2 linked regions of the Rattus norvegicus genome follow. The protein of the gene in region 1 interacts with the protein of each later gene in a pairwise test. Links are inferred from orthologs where the notes say so. Each region holds a gene or a part of one and is shown on either strand. Other genes may lie near its edges.

Region 1 (4,589 bases):
CCCCCGAGGCAGAGGGCGTCCACGGCAAATCCCCAAGTACTGCATCATCCGTGCAGTTTTCCCTTGCCTCTCAGCTAAAGGAGTACGTGCAGAATTAAAAAAAAAAAAAAAAAAAAAAAGTGGGAAGTCCAGCACGTGGGAGGCAGAGGCAGAGGCAGGCGGATCTCTGCTAGTTCAAAGCCAGCCCAGCCTACTTAATGAGTTCCAGCCCAAGGCGATGTAGTGAGGCACTGCCTAAAAACAAACAAACAAAGAAATGAGGGAAAAAAGTGTTCCGTGTTTAGTTGCTGAGCGCCTGTGTGCTGGCTGGTTTTACACCCACTGACACAAACTAGAGTCACCTGGAAGGAGGGAGCCCCAACTGAGAAAATGCCCCCATAAGATCTGGCTGTAGGGCATTTTCTTAATTAGTGATTGATGGGGGAGGGCTCTGCCCACTGTAGGTGGTGCCATCCCCTGGGCTGGTAGTCCTGGGTTCTATAAGAAAGAGGGCTGAGCAAGGCATGAGGAGCAAGCCAGGAGAACAAGCCAGTCGGCAGCACCCCTCCATGGCCTCTGCATCAGCTCTGCCTCCAGGTTCCTGCCCTGGTGAGTTCTGGTCCTGAGTGAGTGACCAGACTATGATGTGGGAGTGCAAGCCATTAAATAAACCCTTTCCTCCCCAACTTGCTTTTAGTCATGGTGTCTCATCACAGCAATAGAAACCCCAACTGGGAGACTCTGTCTTCAGGTGCTAATATAGAGACTGAGAATACAAGTGTGCTAATACAAGACAGGCTGCTAACATGAGAGCCAAAAGTATACCGATCCATTCTTATTTGCCTTTAAAGGCACGACTACTCAAGATCCCAAGCAGGAAGTCCCCGAGTAGTCCACAAACAGCAAACAAACCCTGCCTCTGAACAGGGTGTGCTTCCTCTGAGCATTCCCAACTACGTGCTATCTACCCAAACCTTGACTTCAAAGCCAGCCTCGGTGCACCTCCCCTGGAGATTCTAACCTATCCCAGAGAAGTGTCTGTCCTCTGAAGTGCCAACCACTACCAGCTAGGATCTCAATTTATTTAGAGGCTGATCATCCCCTGAGGAGATGGCTCAGTCCATAGAGTGCTTGTTCAGCAAACAGGAACCCTTGAATTTGATCTAGCACCCATGTTTAAAGGAAGAATAAAGAGAGAGAGAGAGAGAGAGAGAGAGAGAGAGAGAGAGAGAGAGAGAGCGCGCCAACGTGGCTGTAATGTTAGTACTGGGAAGGCAGAGGCAGGGAAATCCCTGGGACTTGCTGGCCAGCCAGTTTGGCGCAATCAGCAAACTCCAGGTTTTGGGGGAGAGCAAGTGAGGAAGACGCCAGATGTCAACGTCTAGCCTTCATCGTGCACATTCGCGCGCGCGCGCGCGCGCACACACACACACACACACACACCCAAACATAGGCACACACACACAACCATTCTACTAGAATCAGTACTTTTTATCTATTCAAAAAACTTTGATTACCACCTATGAGCCAGTATTCTTCAAGAGACTGAGTGCAGCCAAACAGAATCGGCTTTTTCCCCATCAAAGGAAGGGGAGGGTTCTTGTATAGTGCTTTTAAAAATCTTCCTGAAAATATGTGGGTTGAGACTCAGGACTGAATGAATACCTATTTATTAAAGCCGTGGGCTTCCTGGTTGCAACCTCTCCAAGCTTACTTAAACTGAAGGTGCATGAACCTACAGGGAACAGAAGCTAAGGAAGCCACTTCTAAATGAACTTCCACTTCTTAAAAACCTCAAAAGAACAAGGAAGGAAAAGAAAACAGCTACGAAAGCGCTGCTGAACCAACACATTTTGTGCACTCTGACAGAGCATTCCAATCCCCCTTGTAAACTACAAAGAGTGACCCCCTACTCCCTCCCGACGCCTTGCAGCCCGAGATTCAAGCGTCTAAAAGATCTCAGAAAGTTGAACGCACCTAAGCTCCCTTAAGCAAGCCTTGGTTTCTTTGCGATTAAGTCCCAGGGGGAAATGAGCAGATGCCACTTGGACGAACCCAGCCAGAGTGACAACAAGGAAATGACAAACTGAGCTTCAGGCGCCAAGAGGGGCTCACAGACTGAACACCTCGTGCGCGATCAACGCAGAAGCAATTTTAAAAACAAACAAAAGCCGGGTTCTGCACAGCCCGGGTGGAAGGTTCCTAAGTTCCTAAGAGAAGGAAACGAGAATGTGCTCCAGGGGAGCCGCGAGGCTGCGCGCGGCGTGGGAGTTCCTGCAGGATGTGAGAGGGATTCCGCGAATTCGGTCTGCTCTGAAGTGGCTTTTGTGAGAAGCGACAGCTGGCACCTCACGGCGGGCGAGGGTGACGCCGAGCTGTGCCATGCGGCGCGGGCTGCCACCTGGGCACTCCCCCCATTCTCCGCAGCCGCGACGCCAGACACGAGAGCCCCGGCCTGCGCCGCGCGCGCCGTAGGAGCCGCGACCTCTCGGGGGAGCCCGCGCAGTCCGGACTGCGAGCCCCGGCGCGCGCACTCACCTCAGCAGACTGGAGAGAGGGTGGCTGGAAGAGCCGAGGCCGCCGCCCCCGGAGCCGCCGCCGCTGCCGGAGCCGCCGCCGCCGCCGCCGCCGAAGCCGGAGGAGAGCCGCTTCCCGGACAGCAGCTTCTCCACGGCCGGGAGGTGCCCGGTGCGGGCCGCCTCCAGCAGCTCCTGCTCCTTCCCCATCCCCAGGACCGCCACCCCTCGGACCCCAACCCCTAGCCTTGCAGAGCCAGCTCAGGCTCCTAAACTTTCCGTCTCCGGGCAACGCACCCCTCAAACCGGCCGGGGACGCCACCCCCTCTCTCCCCCTCCCCGCCTCCTTGGTCTCCCCCTCCCCTGATGGCGCGTCACTTCCGGGATCCGGCGTCACGCGTCACCGCGCCCCCGCGCCCCGCCCCCTTGCCCACCTAGTGGGCGGGGCTCGGCGCCGCCTTGCAGGTGACCCAGGGTGGCAGAGTGGAAGTCCGGGCGTGCAGAGTGGAGCCTGGCGCAGACGCGGTTCACGCCCAGCGAACCCGCCCATTCGACAGGTGGGAGAGAAGGAAGGCAGCACACTTGTTGGAGCTTCCCGAAGTGCTCGCCTTCTCAAAGGTTTGGGACCTCATGGGACTGGAAATCCGCTCATTGGTCCAGGCATCGTAGAAACAAAAGAAAGGCGGTAACGGGTACCCATGTTTTCAATTCCATTCAAGACACATAGATTAACTACGGAATAGCTGCGGATACCTAGAACCAGACTTGAAAAATCCCGCCCTCTGGTGCTTCCTTGAGGGAAGGCCAGAGAGTTTTTACAACTGCTGTTAGCCTGGCATTGTAGCACTCGCCGTTTGTCCCAGCAGTCGGGAAGCAGAAGCCGCCGCATCTCTGCGAGTTTAAGACCAGCCTGGCTTACAAAGCAAGTTACGGGCTAGCCAAGGCTACATAATGAGACCCTATCTCAAAAAGGGGGGCGGAAGAGGCGGTACGGGAGTGGCTGTTAGGTGGCTCCGTGGCTGCTCTGTCAGAGGATCTAGGTTTGTTTCCCATTCCTTGTGGCACCTCACTGCAGTCTGTAACTCCAGTTCTAGCGGATGTGATCCTCTTTTCTGGCCTCCCAGGGTACCACGAAAGCGTGCGGAGCCCAGACTTATATGCAAAACACCCATACACACGAAAGAAAAAGTTAAGAAATCTTTTTTTAAAAGATTCATTTATTATATGTAAGTACACTATAGCTGTCTTCAGACACACCAGAAGAGGGCATCAGATCTCGTTACAGATGGTTGTGAGCCACCATTGTAGTTGCTGGGATTTGAACTCAGAACCTCAGGAAGAGTAGTCATTGCTCTTAACCACTGAGCCATCTCTCCAGCACAAGAAGTCTTTTTAAAACGCATATCCTCGCTCTCCATCCTACTAATTCTTCCAATAAATGGTCAGAAGAGACCTTCTTTCTCTTAGTTGTCGTGAGAAACATTTTAAAAGATTTGGGGGACCAGTCCCAATTTTTAATATTGGTGGACTGAGGGGAAAAGGTAATGGGGAGAAGACGATTGTTTGCTTGCTTATTGTTTTTTCTGGTTTTTCTCAGGATACTAGCTAGCCCTGTTCTGACGCGAGGCAGGTGGCCAATATTTGAGACAATGAATGAAATTCAAGGTTCTGGCTACGTTCAACGAGTTGGCTACGTTCTGTTGGCACTAGATAGAGATGCTTGCGAAACAGAAGGTAAGCCTAAGCAGTTCCCTGGTGGACACAAGCCGGTGGTCTCAGTTCTTCAGAAAATACGAGGTTGGGTCGCTGCCGGAAGTTGCTCAGTCCAAGGCAACAACAGGGACGAAGTTTTCTCCCTGTTCCCTCGACTTTGCGCTGAAGGAGTCAAGTTAAAGAAGGATTCATTGGCATTGCATTCCCAGGAAGGAGAAGAAAAAGAAGTCTCTCGGTAAACGAATGTACGCTCTTTCAAAAACGCTTCTTCTCTAAAGCCGAGGCTCTATACTAATACATTTCTTTCTCGTTAAAACAAAGTCAGTTTACGTGAAGCCCCTGAGCCATGAACGCGCTTCTGAAAATGACCCCTCCCAGGAG
Region 2 (4,556 bases), on another chromosome or scaffold:
TCCTAATTTAAAAAAAAGTGAGTGATAAGCTAGGTGGTGTGGTTAGGTGGTGGTGTGGGGGTAGCATTAATCTCAGCATTTGAGAGGTAAGCAGGTGGCCAGCCTGGTCTACAGAGTGTGTTCTAGAACAGCCAGGGCTATATGGAGAAACCTTGTCTACAAACACAAACAAACAATACGAATCAACATTACCATTTTTTTTTATTTATCCAATTTTATTTTGTGTGTATTGGATTGGCGTGAGGGTGTCAGGTCCTCTGGAACTGGAGTGACAGACGTTGTGAGCTGCCATGTGGTTGCTGGGAATTGAACTCTACTACTCTGGAAGGGCCGTCCATGCTCCTCGCTACGGAGTCATTTCTCAAGCCCTGGACATTACTATTTTAAGGTACCCAGTTCAGTGGGTTTTAGTGGCTTCACATGTGCGTACAGCCGGCAGCAGCACCTAATCCAGAGCCTGTCACCATCTCAAATGACAGCCCGTCCCCGTGAGCCAGCAGCCAGCCCTCTTCCCTCGCACGGCAGCACCTGCTGTCTGTCTGTGTGGATGCGCTTATTCTGGGTCGCGGTTTTAAAAATTAGGAGATCGAGCACGTTACCTTCTGATGTCTTTCATGTCGTAGTTACACGTTAGTTGTTTTTTATCTTGCTTTTGAGACAGGGTCCCAAGTAGTCCAGGCTAGCCTGGGACTGGCCATGGAGATGACCCTTCTCCCTCCGCCTTCCAAATGCTGAGGTTACAGATAGTACCACCCTGCCCAGGGTGAGGTTCTGATTAGCTCTTCCTGAGGGGGTGAGGGGGTCACGTGCTGTCTCACCTCTGGGTGACTACACCGTGTTGCTGTGAGCATTGGCCTACATTGCACCTTCTTTCATTCTCTTGGCTATACCTCAAGTGGGAGAACGGCAGCCATATGATAACCTCACGATCAATTTTGCCGACATGCGTGTCTGTGTTCTACATGTGTATCGTGCCCATGGAGGTCAGAAGGGGGTATCGAAGCCCCTGGGACTTACGGTTGTGAGCTGCTGTGTGTGGGCTGGGCCTTGAACACCAGCCTTCGACAAGAGCAGCACCTCTCCAGCTGCTCCATGAGCAACTTGGTGAGGAAGTCAGGAGAGTTTGTCTGAAAGTAAACTCTCCTGAGGCTTTACAACCATTAGCCTGAGGCTTTACAACCATTAGCCCCTGGCTTTAATACCCAAAGCCATCCTCTTGGGTTCATCATAAAACCTCTTACCCACACATGGCCCAAGGTGGATTCAAAAGGCTCTGGCTGACCTTTCCAAATGTCTTGACTCTTGTGTGTCTTAGCTGTTGTTTGGCTCTTTAAACAGATCATGTTTCCCTGCCCCAGGACCTTTGCCTATGATACCACTGTGTTGTAGTACCTGTCCATTTGGCTCAGCCACCCGTCTCAGACCATTGCCCTGTGTGCTTGCTCTTGTCCCTCGGGGCTCAGACCCACTTGTCCTCCTGACCTACAGTTTCCTTTGCTCTATAACGTGCGGAGAATACAGGACTCTTTCATGGGTTTCTATTTGCATGGATTGGACAACACTTACCACTCGGCCGGATCTGACTAGGCAAGGACATGGGGAAGCGGGGTGAGGTGGTCCCTGCAGGCTGGTTCACTTTACACTCACCGGGAAGGCCAGCTGGCAGATGGGGTCCATCCATGACTGGCGGTGCTGTGCAGCCAGCAGGTGGCTTCGCTCAGTGGTGGTGATCAGGAAGGCCCCAGTGTCCCTGGGGCAACTCTCACCATCCGCCGGCAGAACAGATACACAGTCAGCCAAGCGTATGATCCGGCGTTCCCCTCTACGGCCAGGCCCTGCGGGCCTGTCACCTCCTGGCCCCAGGCCACCATCACGAACGTCCCAGCTTTCTAGCCGAGCTACTCCCGACGGGCCTCCTGCATACAGCAGAGCCCACACTTTGCGCCAGCATTTCTGTAAGAAAGGAGATCCTTGGGAAGAAAGCCACCCTTGCCCCTTGGCTCTGTACAAGCTGCTTAGCTTCTGCCTCCCTAGGACTTAGGGTACTGAGGAAGGAGGAGGCCTTGCTGGGGCAGGGGTAGGCAGGAAGAGATCTACACTTGGGGCTGGTCAGCCCTGAGCCCTGGTCACACCTTGCCCTGTTCTGGATGACCTTCACAGTTAATAGTATCTAATGGCTGGGGCAGACCAACTGACACTGCTGTTACACAACCAGAAAGGGCACTTGGGCCATGGGCTGGGTGGGGTGGGAAGGCGGCCTCTGCTTCATGCTGGTAAGGAAGGAAACATGCAAATGACATCGCAGAGGCAGCAGACGGTTTATCTGCCCAGGAGCAGCTGTAGTTGAACTGTGGGTGTACAGTCTGATGCTCAAGGAGAAAAAAAGATAGATTCCCAGCCCATCTCCTCTCCAGGAGAACCAGCCTGTCTGCTCCGTCCTCAGAGGGCTTCTGACACACAGGCCTGGGCCTTCTCCAGGAGCCTTGGAACCCTTGGACACACAGGTTTTGATTCCTACAACGCTTCCATGGTCCTGGCATCTCTAACACGGTATGAGGCTGGCTTAGGGAGGAGGCTTCATCCCTAACCTTCTTGGGCCAAGAACCTCCTGTCTCCAGCTTTCACTTCACCCATACCCCCTTCCCAGTTATCTCAGGTCAGCTGTGTGGTTAGCTAAGCAGGGGCTTCCCTCCTCTGCCCGTGGCTGGCAGCCTGGGCTTCCCACCTTGCCAAACTTCATGTGCTGCTGGTAGAGGAGGCCGTCCTTGACAGGTGTCTCCACAGATTCCATGGCCACAACAGTTCTGAAGTCCCGAGGAGACTGGGTATAGCCGGACAGGAACTTCTCTTAACTTCTCGTTTTTTGGCCACTTCCCCCTCCCTCTGTCCAGAGACAGCTGCAGGGCCAGGGGGAGGGGAGCCCGGTCTTGGTTTAAAGGACAGTACTCAGAACAAATCTCTTCCTTAGGGTCCTTGCTGTTCCAAGAAACCGTACCTGCCTATGGGGAGCTTGAAGCCAGCAGGGTCCGGGGTGGCGTGGGGGGTGAGGACTGCCTCTTGCGCATGCACCTGGATCAGCTGGATCTGAGTGTCTGACCACAGGGTGGATGCCGAGTCACAAGCTCCGAACCCTCCCCCATTCCCAGGCAGCTGTGCAACGTGAGGATGGGAGCTGCACAGCCTCCGACCCTTCTCTACCAGATTGCTAAAGTGGCTGCCATTCTGAGTGGCACGTTTGCCGTGCTCTTAAGCACTGGGATCCACCCAGGGCCTTGGACATGCTAAGGTAACCGCCATACATTCCCAGGTCAATCAGAAATGTTTCCAAAGCTCATTTTCATCTCACCCCACTTAGGCCCACCCCAGCTGTGTCCACCAATCTTGTTGTTCCCCCTTGAGTCTAGTCTGGGCAACTCCACCCCATCTGTTCTCGCCTTTACTTCCTGAGGTGTAGTTCTTCAGATCCGTCCCCTCTAGGCACCCCTTACCACTGCTCTGCCCTGCCACAGGCGGCTGCTTCTTCCTAGAGGCCTTCCTTGACCACTCTCCAAAACTGGAGAGTGAAGCATTACACAACAGACATGAGGTAGCAGGCCACAAGGGCTCCATATCCAGGTTCACTGCTTGTCACATGTGTGGGCGGCAGGCCCCCAGTGCGCTCCCCAGGGAGGTCACATGCTTCTTTAAGCGTTGCTTCCTGCCCAGTGACTCTGCCCCCACCCCACCCCACCTGACCTGCCTTGTTGGAGGCCAGTATTGGAGCTTTGCATGAATACAATTTATGGGAGTATCTTGTCACCTGTGTAATGTCACCTTGGGGAAGAATGCTGTAACCCAGCTGAGGAATGTTGTTTGTGGGGTGTGTGTGTGTTGTCACACAGTGCACATGGAAATACACTCAAGAGGCCTTTGGCACCTAGCTCTGTGCCCACCATGGCTGTGGTCCAGGCAGCTCCGTGCCCACCATGGCTGTGGTCCAGGCAGCTCCGTGCCCACCATGGCTGTGGTCCAGGCAGCTCCGTGCCCACCATGGCTGTGGTCCAGGCAGCTCTGAGCTCACACAGCCTGGTCCTGTGCTTTTCGTTCTCTTGACAGTTCAGTGATGAGGAAATCAAGGCTCAGATAACTTAAGTAACTGGCGGAGGCCACACGCTGAGCGACAGACCTAGCCTGAGGGACTGCTACCTCTCCTTGCAGTTCTCGGTGCAGAGCTCCAAGTACCTGGGTGCTGCTGTACCACCTCTTTGGCCCCTTCTTACAGGAAAGTGAAGCCCCGGCTGGGTTGGTGGGCCAGCCAGTCTTTCAACAGGCCATCGGCATGTACATGTCTTACCTGTGGCTCCCCAGTTATCAGCCTGGCTTGTTTCAGTCTTTACAGCCCAGGGAAAGTGAGGCAGAACAGGGGTAGAAGGCGCCTGTGGCCAGAATGGCAGGCCTGTGGCATCGGCCACTTCCTCAGCAGGTAGAGCAGAGGAATTCTGGCTGCAAACTTGCACAGGGAGGGAGGGGCAGTCAGAGGGCGTCAGGAGCCCTGGAGTCACCACAGGAAGACTGAA

Evidence for each region.
Region 2: the proteins of Anks1a (region 1) and Dok3 interact in a two-hybrid assay, tested with the Homo sapiens proteins (2 studies listed by BioGRID and IntAct). The link is inferred for Rattus norvegicus from reciprocal best matches to the Homo sapiens genes ANKS1A and DOK3.

The regions. Positions count from the first base shown.
Region 1 is NC_086038.1:5,963,683-5,968,271, reverse strand, and holds the start of Anks1a (ankyrin repeat and SAM domain-containing protein 1A), read right to left. Parts: upstream 2,830-4,589; 5' UTR 2,706-2,829; coding exon 2,518-2,705; intron 1-2,517. UniProt on the Homo sapiens protein: Regulator of different signaling pathways. Regulates EPHA8 receptor tyrosine kinase signaling to control cell migration and neurite retraction.
Region 2 is NC_086035.1:9,113,834-9,118,389, reverse strand, and holds the start of Dok3 (docking protein 3), read right to left. Parts: upstream 2,816-4,556; 5' UTR 2,792-2,815; coding exon 2,726-2,791; intron 1,954-2,725; coding exon 1,648-1,953; intron 1-1,647. UniProt on the Homo sapiens protein: DOK proteins are enzymatically inert adaptor or scaffolding proteins. They provide a docking platform for the assembly of multimolecular signaling complexes. DOK3 is a negative regulator of JNK signaling in B-cells through interaction with INPP5D/SHIP1.